3 linked regions of the Canis lupus familiaris genome follow. The protein of the gene in region 3 purifies or fractionates together with the protein of the main gene of each other region. This does not show direct contact. Links are inferred from orthologs where the notes say so. Each region holds a gene or a part of one and is shown on either strand. Other genes may lie near its edges.

The links.
Region 1: the proteins of CUL4B (region 3) and COPS8 purify together in Homo sapiens (affinity purification with mass spectrometry; 7 studies listed by BioGRID and IntAct, counting the BioPlex papers as one, with this or other methods). This does not show direct contact. The link is inferred for Canis lupus familiaris from reciprocal best matches to the Homo sapiens genes CUL4B and COPS8.
Region 2: the proteins of CUL4B (region 3) and WDTC1 purify together in Homo sapiens (affinity purification with mass spectrometry; 4 studies listed by BioGRID and IntAct, counting the BioPlex papers as one, with this or other methods). This does not show direct contact. The link is inferred for Canis lupus familiaris from reciprocal best matches to the Homo sapiens genes CUL4B and WDTC1.

What each region holds. Positions count from the first base shown.
Region 1 is NC_049246.1:48,062,710-48,068,830, reverse strand, and holds the start of COPS8 (COP9 signalosome complex subunit 8), read right to left. Parts: upstream 3,726-6,121; 5' UTR 3,637-3,725; coding exon 3,559-3,636; intron 2,970-3,558; coding exon 2,899-2,969; intron 1,394-2,898; coding exon 1,345-1,393; intron 153-1,344; coding exon 20-152; intron 1-19. UniProt on the Homo sapiens protein: Component of the COP9 signalosome complex (CSN), a complex involved in various cellular and developmental processes.
Region 2 is NC_049223.1:72,404,058-72,410,243, forward strand, and holds the start of WDTC1 (WD and tetratricopeptide repeats protein 1), read right to left. Parts: upstream 3,726-6,186; 5' UTR 3,427-3,725; intron 1-3,426. UniProt on the Homo sapiens protein: May function as a substrate receptor for CUL4-DDB1 E3 ubiquitin-protein ligase complex.
Region 3 is NC_049260.1:93,266,697-93,272,896, reverse strand, and holds the start of CUL4B (cullin-4B), read left to right. Parts: upstream 1-2,372; 5' UTR 2,373-2,387; coding exon 2,388-2,559; intron 2,560-6,200.

The DNA of each region.
Region 1 (6,121 bases), on a different chromosome or scaffold from region 3:
AACCACGAAGAAACACTACCTCTAAGTGCTTCCATGATTGGCTGGACCGTCTCAGACCACTGGTGTGCGTTGATGGTCGTATAGATCCCAGGGAAATCTCTCTGCCAGATTCTCTGTCCTACTGACCAAATTCCCCCAAGTTCAGAATTTGCCTGCAATAAATATTACTGTCTTTGAGTATATTCACTTTGGAGTTTTACCAACAACTGTATCTTAAAACATAACTCAACATTTCTTTTAAGGGGTATAATTGCTTCTTCAGCCCAATCACTATCAAAAAGGTTTTTAAGTGCTGTGGACAGTAATGCAAAATTTATTTGTATGGTTTATATAAATTCTAAGAGAAAATTAGAGCATAAAACACTTGTCCAAAAATATTTCAGAACTAAGTCTGGGAATTAACTTTCTTGAACAATTCTTCAAAATGTACTTGTATTTCATATATACATAAATGCTATAAATATCATATAGATATTCAAAGATACACCCATGTAAAATACATATGCATGTTTTTTTGTCAAAAGTAATAGCAAAATGACAAATAGTAAAGACTATCAATGTCATACACTGTAGCCTCTCCCAGGACCGAATTCCCACGAACGTCACTGAAACTATGAGTGTAATTTACAGTTCTTTATTTTAAGTCAATGAAGCTGGAGGAATAAGCCAATCTTATATAATAGAATGGAGAAGACAGACAGTAAAAATGCTAAATGAATTGCTGCTAAATACCAATAATGAACAGAAGAATTCAAGTGAATTCTTGATAATATTCTGTGAATATTCTGTGTTTAAAAAATTCACTTTGTACTTATTCTAGAAACAATGAATCCCATAAAATTAAAAATGTATTTCATTCCATTTTGGAAGAAAATTTTAAGAGGTTATTTCATCTAATCTCCCATCCAAACTAAGAAATCAAAAATCCTAATTACCAAAAATAATCTTAATGCTGTGAAAATCATTCTTAGGATATACTTGTAAATAACACCAATTTCAAAGTAAATACCATTACTGCACAAATCAGTTAAAAAAGCAAAACAAAACCCAAACCAAACCTTTATGTAAAATATCTGTTGTTTGCCAGGCAAAGTGGCACTTAACATGAAGTGTCTTAACGTGATCAAAAGAAGCTGAAGACAGATTTCTAGAACTATCCAAGGGAAATTAAATTTCTGATTAGAGGAAACGTGCAGATCTGTCCCTAAACTTTAATACCAGTTTAATAACTATTTCTGTGAACCATAGTAAAGAAAACAGAAACTTTAAAAAGTTTACAATGTTGCCATTTAAATGAAAGCAGTTACTACATTCAAGTAGTAGGAAATATTGAAGAATACTTACAGACTTTATAGCAGGTGGTATCCTCTTCCAAAGATATCTTGCATTATTCCTAATTTACATCCCCCCCCCCAAAAAAAAACAATAAGCAATTAAAAAAAATCACTTCGGTAAATGTTTAAAATTTTAGATCTTACTGCAAACACACAAAAGTATAGTTTAAAATACTCTGTATCTTATGGAGTCAAATTTAGTTTTATATGAATTTGTCCAGGGGAAGAGTAGCTTTTCAGATAAAAAGTAATAAAATACTTTTACAAAGTAATATTTTGCCATCTTTATAGTGCATTTTTAATTTATGATCTAGACCTTAAATTAAGGTAATGGTATGCTAAAAACACAAACACTGAAGTAGGTCATTTCTTCATAGATAAAAATAGGCAAATCTCTATACTTTCAAGGCTCTGGAGTTCCCTGACAACGTATGTGATACACATGCTTTCCTCCTTATCATGAACCCTCCTCTGACCAACAAGTGCAGAGCCACCAAAACTTCAAGAGTTTGAAAGCTTGAACTACAACAAACATATGTCAGGATCATGAAAATGAAATCGACAGCTCATGGGTATACGTCTAACAGAAATCAGAGGCTACTTTTTAAAAGATATGAAACAAAGAGCTTGAATAGAATTTAAAACAACACTTAACAGTAATTACTGACGACTTGCAGCACCAGAGGGACTCCTGTGCGCTTATGCTTCCTGACTTTTCTTCAACGAGCACAAATTAGGAATAACTAAAAACAACACCTTTCAAAGGATCTCATACATGTCATTAAACAAATTCCTCTCGACCTTCTCTATCTTCCCTTTCAGTTTCTCTGGATTGACTGATTACATATGAAATTAACAGGAGCCCATGGAGGTTTTATAAAAACAAGAAAGGTCCAGCAGCCCGGGTGGCTCAGCGGTTTAGTGCCACATTCAGCCCAGGGACTGATCCTGGAGACCTGGGATTGAGCTGCACGTTGGGCTCCCCGCATGGAGCCTGCTTCTCCCTCTGCCTGTGTCTCTGCCTCTCATTAATAAATAAAATCTCGGGATCCCTGGGTGGTGCAGCGGTTTAGCGCCGCCTGCAGCCCAGGGTGTGATCCTGGAGTCCCGGGATTGCATCCTGCATCAGGCTCCTGGCATGGAGCCTGCTTCTCCCTCTGCCTGTGTCTCTGCCTCTCCCTCTCTCTCTGTCACTGTGTGCCTATCATAAATAAATAAAAAATTAAAAAAAAAGAAACATCATAATAAATAAATAAAATCTCAAAAAAAAAAAAAGCAAAACCAAAAAAGGTCAACAGAATTAAAGGACTTTATTGACACTGCTGTTTCTCACAACAAATTAGAATGTGCTTTTAGAGAATATACATAAAACAAGTGTATTTTAAAACGACTGGGCCTAGGCACTATCCGGTAACACATGAAACAGGTGCATTAAGTATTATGATAAAAGGCACAGAGCTCCTTGCGCCTTAGGGTTTCGCTGATGTCTTCCCAACGCGAAGCGTAATTTCTGTACAATCCTCAGGAAGCCACTGCTCTCGGCTTTGGGTAGAAAAGTACTTACATGTCATTGTGGAGCAGATATAAAGCTAAGAGCTGACCGTACACGGGGGGAGTGGCAATTCCTCCAGGAGCCTGTAAGGCCAAAAAAAAAAAAAAAAAAAAGAAAAAAGAAAAATACCTTATTTACGCTTACACTTAAAAAAAAAAAAAAAAGGATTTTATTAACACCAACGTAAAAGATAAACCCTATAGTACTTAGAACTGCAGATGTAGAAAGTGCTCCGAGAAGAGACAAAACACTAAAAATCGCACTGTTGAGTTCAGATCTGCCGTCGCCTGTGATTTCTAGGTCCCTCCAAACTTCTGTGTCTCCGTAAGGACAAGAATATGTAAACTGAGGACGCCTGGGGGGGGGGGGGGGCTCAGCGGCTGAGCATCTGCCTTCCGCTCAGGGCGTGACCCCAGGGTCCTGGGTTCGAGTCCTGCCCCGGGCTCCCTGCATGGAGCCCGCTTCTCCCTCTGCCTGTGTCTCTGCCTCTCTCTCTCCCTCTTTCTCTCATGAATAAATAAACAAAACCTTAAATAAAATCTTAAATAGCTGCAAACAAGGAAAGGGAGCCCCCGGGGCGCACCCCCGCGTCCCCGGCGCCCCGCCGGCCCCGTTACCCTGGAGACCGGCACCGCCCCGGGGGCCCCCTGCCAGCGCGCCGCCAGCCGCCACCTCGAGCTCCTGGTTCTCGCACTGATCCAGCAGCTTCTTGAAACTGAAGGCGCCTTCCGCCATCACCGCCACTGGCATCTTCCCGGCCGGTCCCGCCGCCGCACCCTCGCCAGAGCCGACCCACGACTGTCCCTCGGGCCGTCGCGCCCGCGATGACGTAGGCGGCCGCCGCCGCCGCCGCCGCCGCCGAGCGCCCAGGCGCAGCTGCGCCGTCGCTTCCGGCGCGTCGTCGCCGCCGCGCTGGCCGGCGCTCTCGGTGCTCTGGAGGACCCGCGCGGCCTCGCGGGAAGCGGCTTCCCGAGCGCGCGGCCGGAGGCGGGAGGGGCGGGGTGTGCGCGGCGCGGCCTGACACGCATGCGCACTGCGAGGAGCGGCCCCGGCCTGGTGCCTCGACCGCGGGAGGTCGCGGGAGGCTGGGGTCGCCCACACGCGCCCCGCCTGCACCCCCAGGCTCCTGAGCTCTGAAACGGGTCCGGTGCGGGCTTGCACCGTGCAGCCCGCCAGGCTGGGCCGCTCCCCGGGGCTGGGGACCCTGGCCTGCTGCGGAGGCGCCTGGGGGGCGGGGTGGGGGGGGGTCCTCGCCGGCGGATGCTCTGCGGCGCTGTCTGCAGTGACTTGCTGTTGGGTTGCCCTTCGGGTCACCGCGGGCCCGGAGGCTTCTGTTCGCGTCCTGCTGCAGGCCCGGCTGCACAGTCCTCAGGTCCGGCTATAGAGTCCGCAGGTCCGGCTGCACAGTCCGCAGGGCCCGCTGCACAGTCTGCAGGCCCGGCTACAGAGTCCGCAGGCCCGGCTGTGCAGTCTGAAGGCCCCGCTGCACAGTCTGCAGACACGGCTGCACAGTCCGCAGGCCCGGCTGCACAGTCTGAAGGCCCCGCTGCACAGTCTGCATGTCCGGCTGTACAGTCCGCAGGTCCAGCTGCACAGTCTGAAGGCTCGGCTGCACAGTCCGCAGGTCCAGCTGCACAGTCTGAAGGCTCGGCTGCACAGTCTGCATGTCCGGCTGTACAGTCCGCAGGTCTGGCTGCACAGTCCACAGCCCCGGCTGTGCAGTCTGAAGGCCCGACTGTACAGTCCGCAGGCCCGGCTGCACAGTCCGAAGGCCCAGCTGTATAGTCCGCAGACCCGGCTGCACAGTCCGCAGGTCCAGCTGCACAGTCCGCAGCCCCGGCTGCGCGGTCTGAAGGCCCGAGTGTACAGTCTGAAGCCCCCGCTGTATAGTCTGCAGACACGGCTGCACAGTCCGCAGGTCCGACTGCACAGTCTGCAGGCCCAGAGCAAGTGGCAAATGCAGGACCCTGGTTGAAAAAATGGGAGGGGACGCTAGGGGTCATATCATGCAAAGCTTTCTCCTCCGACTGGAGTGTACCTCACCTTTTCCTGGTACTTTCTGCTATTTAGTAAGACTCTAAGTAAAGAAAAATTAAAAATTTAAACGATTGCTGTGAATCTTAGCATCCATCTTCACATGGTGCGCCGCCAGGTTTAAATTGAGATGTAAGTGCGTCGAACCCCACTGGGGAATCCGAGAAATCACGCAGTTCGTGTTTCATAGCTCATAGATGCGCTTGTATGTTGTTCTTATTAAAATCGTGGAAATGCTGCACAAAACTAACAACTATTTTTCATGCACTTTATGTTCATGCTCGACCAGCTCTGGCTCACATGCAAATGCTCTGTCGTCCCTATGGGCTTCACTCTCCAAACATGCTCAAAGGTAACATTATTAAGAATTTCGAGATAGCGACAGCATCACTGATTATTTTTACAGAATCAACACTGTTCCCACGTGGCAATGACTGTATGTAATAATGCTTTGGATGGAATATAAAGATAAACCACTATAAAACTCAAAGAATTGGCAACATTAAGTAGGAATGTACACAGGGGTGCCTGCGCAGCTCAGTTGGTTGAGCATCTGACTCTTGGTTTTGGCTCAGGTCATGATCGTGAGATAGAGCCCTGCGTTGGGCTCCTCGCTCAGCGGGAAATCTGCATGAGATTCTCTCTCCCTCTCTTGCCCCGCCCCCCCACCTCATGCTCTTTCTCTGTAAAAAATAAAATAAAATAAAATAAAATAAAATAAAATAAAATGAAGGTACAGAAATATCTTGCAGAAGTGGAGATATTTTGGAGAAATAAAGCATCCAAGTTTCATCCATCACACAAAGAAGAGGACTGAGGGGCAAAATGATTCTAAGACCCTTTGACATAAATTTGACGAGCAAGATTTAAAATTATTAAATTGTAATAACAGCTGCCTAAAATATTGGGCAAAGAAAGATTCAGTGGGATCAACTTCCCAGCGGTTTGATCATTTAAAAGGAAAACTATGATTGAAAGCTTTGGCAGATACTCTGGGCGGCTGAAAGGTGAGGACATAATAGATGGTTCTTTGCTGAACAGAAAATCTCGGTGAGGCTTTGGACACAAAGCATGGGTTACAGGTAGAATTTGGGGTGTCATTTGAAGGATCAAGCTGTTCTCTAAAGACAGGTACAGGCATTTGGGGATTGGAGGCTGGGAGTTGGGAGAGGAAGAGAGGACAGGGAAGGAGGGCTGCAGG
Region 2 (6,186 bases), on a different chromosome or scaffold from region 3:
GCAGGGAGCCTGCTTCTCCCTCTGCCTGTCTCTACCTCTCTCTCTCTCTGTCTCTCATGAATAAATAAATAAAATCTTTAAAAAAACAAAACAGGGTTTAAAATACCGAAAGACGGGAGCCTGGGCAGCTCAGTGATTGAACTTCTCCCTTTGGCTCAGGTAGTGATCCTGGGGTCTTGGGATCAAGCAACGCATCAGGCTCCCTGTGGGACTCTCCCTCTGCAACTCTGATGAATAAATTTTAAAAAAATCTTAAAAAATTAAAATACTGAAAGACTACTTATAGTCCAATTACTTACATAAGTATGAACTCCTCTACCAAATCATTGTAAGAAGTGGCAATGCCTCTGCTTGAATGCCTATGATGATGGATAACTCCTTCCTTCACAAGGTGGCCCATTTTACTTTTATAGAGCCAAATTCTCTCCTATCAAGCCAACCCCTCTTGGAATTTCCATCCCTTGATCCTTGTGCTACCTTCCAGAATCACACAAAGAAAGTCCAGTTCTCTTTCTACAGGACAGTTAAATACTTGAAGGCACATATTGTGTTCTCCCAGGATCTCAGTTTTGGTCCTTCCAGCTCTTCATGTGTCATAGCCCAAAAGGAGACACATGAAGTCTAATGGGCTGCTTGATCCCAGGACCTGAGGATCACTGTCTGAGCCAAAGGGAGAAGTTCAATCACTGAGCTGCCCAGGCTCCCGTCTTTCAGTATTTTAAATCCTGTTTTGTTTTTTTAAAGATTTTATTTATTTATTCATGAGAGAGAGAGAGAGAGAGAGAGAGAGAGGTAGAGACAGGCAGAGGGAGAAGCAGGCTCCCTGCAGGAGCCTGATGCAGGACATGATCCCCGGACCCCAGGATCATGCCCAGAGCAGAAGGCAGAAGCTCAACTGCTGAGCCACTCAGGTGTCCTTACACCCTGTTTTTATATGGAAATGATGTCAAATTCCTGTCATTTTGATCTGTAAAAAACTAACCTTTATTGCATACTTACTGTGTGCCAGCCATTTGTTAGATGCTTTCCCTTATTTGCTATGTGGCCTTAAGCAAGTTATTTAACCTCTCTGTACTTGTATCTTCATATGTATAACAGGGAAGATGATTTTTGCCTCATATAGGACAGTAATGAGGGCTAAGCTAGATAAAGTAAAACACCACTTAGCACACAGCCCAACATATACCAAGCTCTCAATAAATGCCAGAGTCACTTTTAAGAATGTATTCTAATTAGTAAATATCTCTCAAAGTAAGTAGCCATAATTAAATATTAACACCAAGGGATTGTTTTCTGATGGAAACTGTCAGGGCTTGTGTTTTTAAAGCCTAAGAAGTTATGTGAGTCCCTCTGCAATGGCAGCCCAAAGAAGCAGTGGAAAGGAATCAGTGACCCAAAAGAAAGGTAAGTATCACCATACTACATGTTGTCTATGATTCCCTCTTTGAGACCCAGGACTGCACATGTGGACAACATTCCCTAATACAAAAAGGAGAGAAGAAAATAATTAGAGAAAATTTTAAAAATTATTAAAGTCACAGTTCTGGGTCTTTGCAGCATTTGGTCCCTCAAAATCCAAAGACGTTTAACAGAGGGCTTTAAGATCTTCAGTTGTATCCTTTCAGGTCCTAAAGCCTAGGTGTGTGAAAAAAGAACCTAATATGATGTCCCATGAGTCACTACTGAGTTTCTTCTAGCTAGAAAATTTGTCAGTGCATGACAATTCTAAAACCCACAGGTGGCAAATCGCCAATGTTAATATCATCACCATAATCATCACACATACTCTCTTTCTTTTAGTAAGTCCAAGGGAAGGAGTCTCAGGCAGAACTATGGATTGTTGTCCAATTATTCTTCAGAGTTGACCCAAAGCACTACAAATTGAGATGTGGGTTGATCATAAGTGCCCCCAAATAGATAAAAATATCCCAGTATTAAAGCAGCAGGATCATAAACTATGGCAGAAAAGGCTGCTTCCCACCTGCCAATGAACTACAACAACCTGCAATGAAGCTTCATTGTTAAGTCTCAGAGTCAGCCCAAATGAGCCTTTCTAGTTACTCCCTAGTCTGTGCTAGAGGATCCAATTATCATACTCAACAGACAAGATTCAATTCAATCTCTTTAAAAATATAAGAATTACAAGGAAGAATAAGCCAGAACTCAAACCAGAAATAGCCTTAAGTAGTTCCCTCACTTAGTGAAGACACTAGCCACTCAGGAGGGACTGTAAGGTACAGAAAAAGCTTGGTTCAGACCACTGGACAGAACTGTGCCCTAGGCAGAGACTTCCTAATATCTTTGAGTCAGTTGGTGTCCTCTGAATCGTCACCTTCTCAAAACCGTTTCAGACTTTGTTAAAAGGGAACACTTAACTGCCACTTTACACTGATCATCTACCGCATCCTTGGGAAGAATGGGGAAGTTACAGACACCCTATCAGGTTTCTAAACTCATAAACTTAAGAGGAAAACTTTAAAGTTGCTCTACCACTACCTCAGGAAGTTAAAAAAATAGTCACAGAAGAAAAGGACTTTGAGGAAAATAGTCAAATTAGGCAGTTAGACTTTAGTCATAAGTCTTGATACCTCTTTTCTTAGAGACCCTGGTGGTACACCTGCAGAGGAGAGTCAGAGGTCACTAAGCAAATTCAACCTGGCTGGCAAGGGGGCGTCCCACTGCAGCTTTCAGTGACAAGAATTGGATCCCGCTGGTCGGTTCACAGTCTCTCTTCTATTCCACACTTCCTATTTCCCTTTGAAGTGGGTACTGAATAGCTGGTACCCAAGTAAAGGCCCTCTGTAAGGGCGTTACAGTCGCCCGGAGGGAACACCTTGGCAGAGTTCAGCTTGGTGCCAGGATGGGCCACTGAAGGCATCTGCGGCTGCAAAAAGCCTGACCACGGACGGACACACGGACACACACACTCTCTCAGAGAGAGCGAGCGGGAGGGCAAGAGAGAGAGAGCGCGAGAGCGAGAGCGAGCGAGACAGAGCGAGAGCAGGAGAGCAGGAAACTAAGAGAGCAGGTCAGGTCAACGTAGCCCTCCCGGCATTTCCACCTGCCCCCTTCTTCCTGAGACCGGCGCCAGATCAGATGTCAAACAAAAACTCCGCAAAAAAAGTCCCGTGATGGGACGACTTCCACCTCTCCGCTGGCAGAGTCTCCCTGGATTCCCAGAGCCTCCCCCCCCACCCACGTCCCGGCCAACCCTCCATCCCACTCCGCCCCCGGCCCACTCTGCCCTTCGCCCCAGCGAGGCCTGCCCCCTCTCGGGACACCCCTGAGCCCCGAGGCTGGCGGCCTCAGGCCCCGGGGCCGGCAGGGCTGCGGGCGGCCCAGAGCGGGCGGCCCGTGTGCTGGGACTGCGGGAGCCGGTTTTCGCTCCGGCGCCCGGCGAGGGCAGGGGGCGGTGGCTACCGGTACCTGTCAGGCCTCTTCCCAGGACCGGCGGCGGCGCAACTTCAGGAGCCCATGTCCGTCCGGGGGGCCCGGCCCCTCTCCCGGGAGGGGGGGGGCGCGGATCCCGGGGAGGGGGCTGGGGGCCCGGGCAGCTCTAGCCCCTTCCCATGCTCCCCGCCCGGCGCCTGGCCGGGGCCGGACAGCGCCTCCGCCCGCCCCTGCGCACCGCCTCACACCCGCGCTCACACACACTCACACTCCCTCGCGCGCTCTCACACACGCACTCCCCTCCCTCCTCCTCCTCTGTTTATCTCCTCCAGCTGTCTGGGGACCCAGGAGAAGCCCGGCACCGCGCCTGCGCCACGCAGTCTCCGCCCCCGCCCCGCGCCTCACAGCCGGCGGCTACGCTACGGAGACGGCGTCCGGCGGCTTCCAGAATGGCTAGCCGGGCCCCTCCCCCGCCCCGCGCGCCCGGTCAACGTCTGCTGCCGGCGGTGCCTACTAACCTGCTAGTGGGGGAGCCCCGCACCGCCGCGACCAATCCGCTCCTGCGCTAACCGGACCGGCAGCCAGTGGGCAGGCGGGAAAGCCGGACTAAGCCCCAAGGCATCCTGGGAGTCGTAGTTTTTCTCCGTGGAAGAGCTCCTGCCGCGTGGGCTCACCCCGCCCAGTTGCCATTAGTTACCCTGACGCACCTCCCACCCCACATCCAAGGAAAATGCTCCCTCATGTGGTTTCTGGGACACCCATCACACTCACCCATTGCCCCTCAGAGCCCGACGGAGTCTCCTAAGAGCTCCACAGAGACTTTTCAGACTGGGGCCCCAGTGCCTCCCTCCCATCCCCCAGAGCCGAGCTTCATCTTACTTCTTCCTGCCCTGGGGGGCTGCTGAAATGGCACATTCCTCACTCTTGCTCCTGGGCCTGAAGGAGGCGGATAAAAGGTAATCAGTCCTACAACCAAGTGGCTTGGACGGGAGCCAGCCACACACACTCTGGAAACTCTCAGCCTGACCGAGAGAGAGAGACGGGGTCCATCTGGGACTAACGGTGGAAGCACTGCTGTTTCCCGCCTCGAAGGAAGAGGCAGTTCCAGCCTAGCGGAGTGCCAAGTCTGATGGAGGAGACACCGTCCTCTCTAAGGAAGTTCCCAAGGTGACAAGGGAGGAGGCATCTTGCCCAACTTCTGAAGGCAGAGACCAGGCCCCACCCATGAGGCGCCTCAAGTCAGAAAAAGAAGATACTGTCATCATCTACTGAGAATGGAAACTTGTCACTCACCCATAGGGTGGGTGCCACTTGTCAGATAACGATAATTAGCTTTTATTTAGCATTTACTGTGTCACCGCTATATGAAGTACAGTTTGTTAGATACTCTTACTGGGTTTTGCAGAAGAGAAAGCTAAGGCACAAAAAGATTAAAAGCAACTTGCCCAGGGTCACATAGCTGACAAGGAACCAAACTGGGATTCAAACCTAGATCTGCATTACTTCAGAGTCTGAGCTTTTTGAAGACTCCCTGTCCCTCCAGTGAGAACCAGGCAGCACCCACTCTCAGGAAGGACTAGACATATTTAGCATCCATAGCGCTTGTTCCGTGTTTATCACTCCACGAGTTGCTTGTTTTTTCTGCTTCTGCTCACATCAAGTGTATAAATTAGTCTGTGAGCTCCCAAAGGGTGATTTCTTCCCATTTGGAGGAGTTAGAACCTACTTGAATTCAGCTTTGTGAAATGTTTTTCTCTTGTAACTGTGGGTCATCTTCCTGATCTCTCCCCCCATAGATGTTCCACTGCATATAAAATATCATAAACTTTGGGACTAGAAGGAAGCTTTGAGATTCTCTCTCCATAGCTCTCCAGGCTCAGGCTGAAACCTGGCTAAGGTCACTGGCTCAATTAAACTGAATAATAACTAACATGTATGGAACACTTACCATGAGGGGTAAGTTCTGTCCTCACAAGTTGCATAGCTAGGAAGAGATACAGTTGGGATTCAAATCCAGATTCTTTGAATCCAGAATTCCCATTTTAAACTCTTGCTCTCTGCTGGCAATATCACAGAGGCTCTTAAAAATACCAACAGAGAAGTGTGGGTGATTTGTCTGTGGCTCCTAGCAGTCTTTGACACATAGTAGATGGTAAATATTTGTTGGCAGAATGAACTTTTGTTGGTGAGGAATGGATGATAGGATAAAGAATATTAATAAGAGCTGGGGGATGCCTAGGTGGCTCAGTCGGGTCTGACTTTGGTTCAGGTTGTGATCTCAGGGTGCTGGCATCGAGCCCCACATTGGGCTCTGCTTGTCCCTCTCCCTCTCACCCCCCCCCCCGCCATCGCTCATTCTCTCTCTCAAATAAATAAAATTTTAAAAAGAAAATAGCTGCAGCTATAGTTAATTGATTATTTTCTACCAGGAGCTCACTTGCCCTCTCATGTACTCTCTTTCTGTTTTCTACATATATGAATATATGCATATATATTATATGTGTATACTGCATATATATACGTGTACATACATATGTATGTATATGTGCATACATTTATCTATGTATACACATACATTCACATACACACTAACTCATTTGATTCCTATAGCTACCTTATGAATTAGGTATTATTCTTACTCCCATTTTCACATAGGAAAGACAGGCTCACAGGAGAATTAAGCTCAGAATCAGGCACCCCTCCCAGCCATAGGTGTTTTTGGATAATTTCAGAGAAAACTTTCTAACCTATGGAGCTGAGCTACTTTGGGAGGTTGTAAACCCTCTGTCTTTGGTA
Region 3 (6,200 bases):
TGGGGTGACATATGTGAGGAACTTAGAACAGTCCATAGTATATTGTGAGTGCTTTTGCTAGTTCTAGCTAGTATTATTCAGTTACCTGTCAACCTGCTTTCCATTCTCACAAGTTAAGCTTTCATGTAACATTTATCTCTTAGTTTCATGGAAGATGGAGTCTACATTCTGTTTTTATTTTCCTTATTGTTTACAGGTGATTTCTGTACTTCACTCCTTACAAAATTTTTATTTTTTATATAGTCTTGTCTGTCAATGGATAGCGAAAAGGTACCAGATAAAAACCAGCAGCTATTCCTTATAAAAATTCTGAGTACAGGGGCACCTGAATGGCTCAATCAGTTAAGCATCTGCCTTTGGCTCAGGTTGTATTCCTGGGGTCCTGGGATTGAGCCCTGCATCGGCAGGGAACCTGCTTCTTCCTCTCCCTCTGCCCTTCTTCCCTGTTCAGGTCAGGCTCTCTGTCTCTCTCAAATAAAATCTTTAAAAAGTTCTAAGTACAAAAGAATAGAAGACAACTTTCTAAATATAGGAAAGAGTTTCAAAAGCCATATGCCAGCATCATGATCAAGTTCTCTCCTATCAATTTCAGGAATAAGGTACAGATGTCCTCTATAGTTTTTTGAAGGTTCTAAAATGTAATAAACCAAGAAAATGAAATAAGTTGTATAAATCTAAAAGGAAAAAAGGAAAAAAAAGGATAATTATTTACAGATGATATGATGATATGCATTGAGAATCCAAGAAATGGGGCAGCCCAGGTGGCTCAGCGGTTTAGCGCCGCCTTCAGCCCAGGGTGTGATCCTGGAGACCCGGGATTGAGTCCCACGTCGGGCTCCCTGCATGGAGCCTGCTTCTCCCTCTGCCTCTGTCTCTGCCTCCCTCTCTCTCTCACTCTGTGTGTCTCTCATGAATAAATAAAATCTTTAAAAAAAAAAGAATCCAAGAAATGCAATTTAAACACTATTAAAACTGAGAAGGCTATATAGTGGACATCTGCTGTTTTGATTTGCCCAGCATTCTTTCTTCCCTGCTTCTAGTAGTAGCACTCCTTTTCATTTGGAGAGCTGTTTCTCTTTCACTGTCCTTTCAATATAGTACTGGTGGGACAGGTAATGATAGTAACTTGCCCCATTGCACCCTCCACAGACCCAGCTCTGCACCTAACCCAGGATGGGCTAATCATAATATCAAACTCTGCTGGACACAATGGCAGCTCCAAAGGGTAGGCATGTGTCCTAGGCCAGAGATACAAGACCTTCCTTGGAATAATACAAATCAGAGGTAAAGAAGTAGCTTTTTCCTTTCTTTGGACATTAAACTGTAAGGATGTGACCCCAAAGCAGTTGGTAACCATGTCTCTATCATGTGAAGGAGTCTTAGAGAATGAGGCAATACAGAAAAGAGAGGTGGAGAGATGACCGAGTTTTATGTTTTTGCTTTTGGTTCCAATCAGGCCCCTGTTAGGCGAGTGGGGTTTCCCATGAAAGGATTGGTCAGATCTGCTGTCAATCAATCATCCTTGAAAACCGTTAAAAGCACCAGAACTCAAGCTTCAGTGGGCAGCACTTTCTTAGGAAAAAGCCCGCGAATTGCTAGCATGCCTAACGGTCGTCGGTGGTCAGTTGTTGTCCGCATTCCTAGCCGTTGGTTTTCTGATGTTAACAGAACGCTGGTAACCACAACAAATCCTGTTGGTCTTGGGGCAGTGCGTTAAAAGCTCCTTAGAGATTATGGAAAGAGGAGGGTATCCTTTAGGAGTTTACTGGCTGTGTGCCTGACTTGGAGCCAAGAGACTTTAAGCCAAGGCTCATCTCTGGCCACTTTAAATTATTTTGTGGTATACTTCTTTTCGTTATTCTCAGACGTTTAAAAGAGATATGTTGCTATAGAAGTTATAGCTTTTATTCACTGGTGATATGGGTAAGTTAGGCAAAAGCATGTCAGAGCCATAGTTACCTGCAGAGAAAATTCTCAGCCAGGTGGTGACCACGGCGTGGAAGAGGGATCCCAACAACCATGGCTCTGTAGTCTGATGAAGAGGCCAATATAGAAGATAGAGACCTGGTTTGGATCATAGTGAGATTGGACTTTGAGACCCTCTGAAATAGCTGGAGGACCCCTTGACCAGGGTCTGTTTGTTGGCCTGGAATCCCCCCCGGGTGGGTGTGGGAGTGGGGTGGGGGGGCACGAGCCATAGTAATTTAAAAGGGCATGGCAGATTTCCAATTTTAGATGTTAGTCTGAACAATTGTGCTTTTTCTCCCAAGTTAGCATTAAATGAAAGAAGAAAACTAAATATTAGACCCGAAACCATAAGGGATAACCGGGAAGGGTGTGATGAGCCAGCCAAAATTGTGAGTATTTTCTTGAAGATATGAAATAGGATGCAATTGATTGAGACCAGAGTCAATGGATCCAGAAAACTAGAGATATGGGAGAGAACTGCTGTTAACCTGAATTCTCTATTTTCTAATGTAGTCCTCCAAAGATGGACCATGTCACAGCCCTCTGAATCAGGGAATGGAAGAGATGATGCAGCCATCTCAGAAGATAATGGTGAGTAAATAAACTAGTAAAAGTCAAATGAGGTGAGGTATCTAACTCTTGATCTCATCTCAGGTCTTGATCTCACAGTTATGAGTTCAAGCCCCACATTAGGCTCCACACTGTTTTGGAGCCTACTTAAAAAAATAGTAACAATAGGGGCAGTCTGGGTGGCTCAGCGGTTTAGCGCAGCCTTCAGCCCAGGGCATGATCCTGGAGACCCCGATCGAGTCCACGTCAGATTCCCTGCATGGAGCCTGCTTCTCCCTCTGCCTGTGTCTCTGTCTCTGTGTCTCTCATGAATAAATAAATAAAATCTTTAAAGAAAAAAATAATAACAATAAAAATTAAAAACTATTATACAATTTTAATACATACAGAAGAATATGTGTGACATATAATTTATAGAGCATAGTAAGAAAACAAACACCCATGAATCCATCACCAAACTAAGAACTAGAACATTTAACAATGCTTTTGAATCTACCTAAGTTCTCCCCTTTGCTTCCCCCAGAGCAATCCCCTACCCTGGATTTTGTTTTGTTTTTTTCCCTTCTATATTTTCTATCCATTGTTTTCCTTAATTTTGAGCTTTACAAAAAAAAATTGTCAATTGCATATATTCTGTAATTATTGCCTTTTTCGTGTAACATTAATTTTGTGATTTATGCATATAGCTGTAATTAATTTTTCACTGTCGTGTAGTATTTCTTTGTGCAAATATACTCCCATTTAGTCATTCTATTAAAGAATATTCTCGGGGATCCCTGGGTGGCGCAGCGGTTTGGCGCCTGCCTTTGGCCCAGGGCGTGATCCTGGAGACCCGGGATCAAATCCCACATCGGGCTCCCGGTGCATAGAGCCTGCTTCTCCCTCTGCCTATGTCTCTGCCTCTCTCTCTCTCTCTCTCTGTCTCTGTGACTATCATAAATAAATAAAAATTAAAAAAAAATTTTAAAGAATATTCTCTTGTCATGTTTTGAGGTCCATATCAAAGTTGATACAGACTAGGAACAGAAAATCTGTAGCATGTTTTGAATCACTTCCTCCCTTAGGCCACCACTAAACAGTCTCCATATATCTATTATTAGTACTTAGTATATTCAAGGGCAAAGGATCAGAAATTTATTTTTTCTGTAAACGATTACATAGGAAATATTTTAGGCTCTTGCTGGCCATATGGCCTGTCCCAACTATTGAACTCTGTTGTTTTAGCACAGAAGCAGCCACAAAAAATATGTAGATGAATGAGTATGGCAGTATTCCAATAAAACTTTCTTATTTTTAAAAGATTTATTTATTTCAGTGAGAGAGTGCACACGTGCAGCGGGGAGGGGCAAAGGGAGAGGGAAACTCAAGCAGACTGCACTGAGCATGGAGCCCAACATGAGGCCTTATATCACTACCCTGAGATCAAACCCGAACTGAAACCAAGAGTCAGACGCTGAACAACTGCACCACCCAGGCACTCCCCCACCCCAATAAAACTTTATTTATAAAAATAGGCAGCTGGCTGGGTTCATTCAACTGACTGCCCTTTCCCAAACTCTGCTTTAGTTTATCTGGTTCCTGTAGCATTGTCCAGTATTGTGGTCACATGTGCACAAGTATTATCTCACTTCTTTCTCATTACCTTATTTCCCATGCTTATCTCTCCTCATACCCACCCCTCCACCTCCCCCCCCCCAGTTCCTGAACTAGTGGCTCAAAGTAAGAATTATCAGTAGCTACCACTCCAACAGCAAGTAGGGGTAAGTCAGGCCTGGTGCTAAGAGGCCTAGGAATTACTGTACCAGATTTTAGACAGAGATGCTGCCTTGATTTCCCTCAATACTCTAGGGGTTTTGGTTAGGACAAACTATTCCCTGAGAACGAGTTTCCTTGAAGATAGTAAGTATGTCTTAGTCTTTCTCACCTTCAGGATTTAAACCTGCGCCCTGTTTTCCTTCTTTGGGCCCCTTGCCCCCTCCCACTCTTCTTGCCTGGCTAATTCCCACTTACCCTCACAGATTTAAATTGAATTACTTTCTCTGGAAGCTATTATTTTCTCTGGAAGCTTTTTGTAACTCCCCACCTCCACCTTTTCTCTACTCCACCCCACCTTCCTAGGCTGTGCAGGTGTCTCTCTGTGTTCCTACAGCAGCTTTTATCACTCTGTCCTCTAATTGTCTGCCTCACCCACTAGGCCAATTGGGAACTGTTTGAGGGCAAGGGTTGTCTTTGTATACTCAGGGACTGGATCATAAGAGGTCCTCAGGCAAGGCTTGTTTAGTGTTTGTCAGGATTTGGCTAGGAGAGGGAGCTGGTTTCTACCTCTGGTGAAGATCAGCCGTTGATTGAGGGTCCAGCCAAAGAATGGACTAATTCTGATTCTCTAAAACCAAATTGTTGTCTCCTTGAATGTGCATTGCTTGCTGCCGCGTCCTGCCTGAACTGAATCCAAGCTTGGTCTCCTATTAGGCACTATGATTTGGCTCATCACAATAAAGGAGTAGTTTTTTTATTTCTTTTTTTTTTCCCTCTTGGTGAGTGGGGCTCTGAAAGTCTTTTCCTAACTTATCTATTACTTGAGACAATTTTGTGGCATGTCTTCTGCTTAAACTGGAAATTATGAGAAATACCATATTTGAGTTTAGAGAAAAAGTGGGTTTGGTTTATGTCTGTGGGCTTCATGTTTTTGGCAAGTCATTTTAACCTCCTTCCCTGAGCCTGTTTCTCATCTGTAAAATGGGGATGGCACCTGACCTATCTCATAGTGTGGTTATGAGGATAAAATAAGATTGTATGTGAAAGTGTTTTGAAAAACTATAAAATCAACCACAAATGGAATTTTGTATTAGTTCTGTATTCCCTTATGACATCTAGCACCATGCCTTGCCCAGAGTAGTTGCTCAATACATTTTTGTTGAGTGACCAAATGAATTGGCAAGAAAAATAATGCTATTGGTGGGAATAAAGGACATTTAATGGAATCAGGAAAAACAGATCACTTGACAATAGAAACATCCATATGGTGACTAATTCAGAGTTGGGCATTTATGTATAGCCCCAAATCTACATTCCTGATGTCTGGTCTTTGTTTTGCTTATAAAAATATTTAAATTTCTCTGAATAAGCTTTTGGCTGCTGAGATAAACTTAGCCAGATCTTAAATATGCAGCCATCACAAAGTAGGATTGGCCCCAGGCAATACTGTGAAGTCAGCAAGAGGTACTCTCAGAACTCTTTCCTCCCTTGATGTAACTTTACCCCCCTACCACACCCCCCATTGCAATGCCTAGTCCTAGTTCTGTTTACCTCCAGGCACTTAGGACTTTTGTATTATCCTTTGTTCCCAAGAAGCATTCACCTTAAAGGGTCAGGAACTGAGTCTCTCTGGCTAATTTGCATTTGAAAAAAGGATTCCTAGAGAAGGAGACTATTTTTATCAAAAGGAATGAATAAATAATTGTGAAATTTCAGGCTTTAAAGAGTACAAGGGCTTATCAGCCTCATTCAAATCTTGATGGTACTTAGTTCACCTACAGCTGTGGTCTCAATCTTGAAGGTAAGTAGATTCACCCTGAGAGCTTCTTAGAAATAATGGTAATGGAGTCACTACTCACAGAGATTCCAATTCAGTTGGACTAGTTTGAAACCTGGGCAAAGGTGTT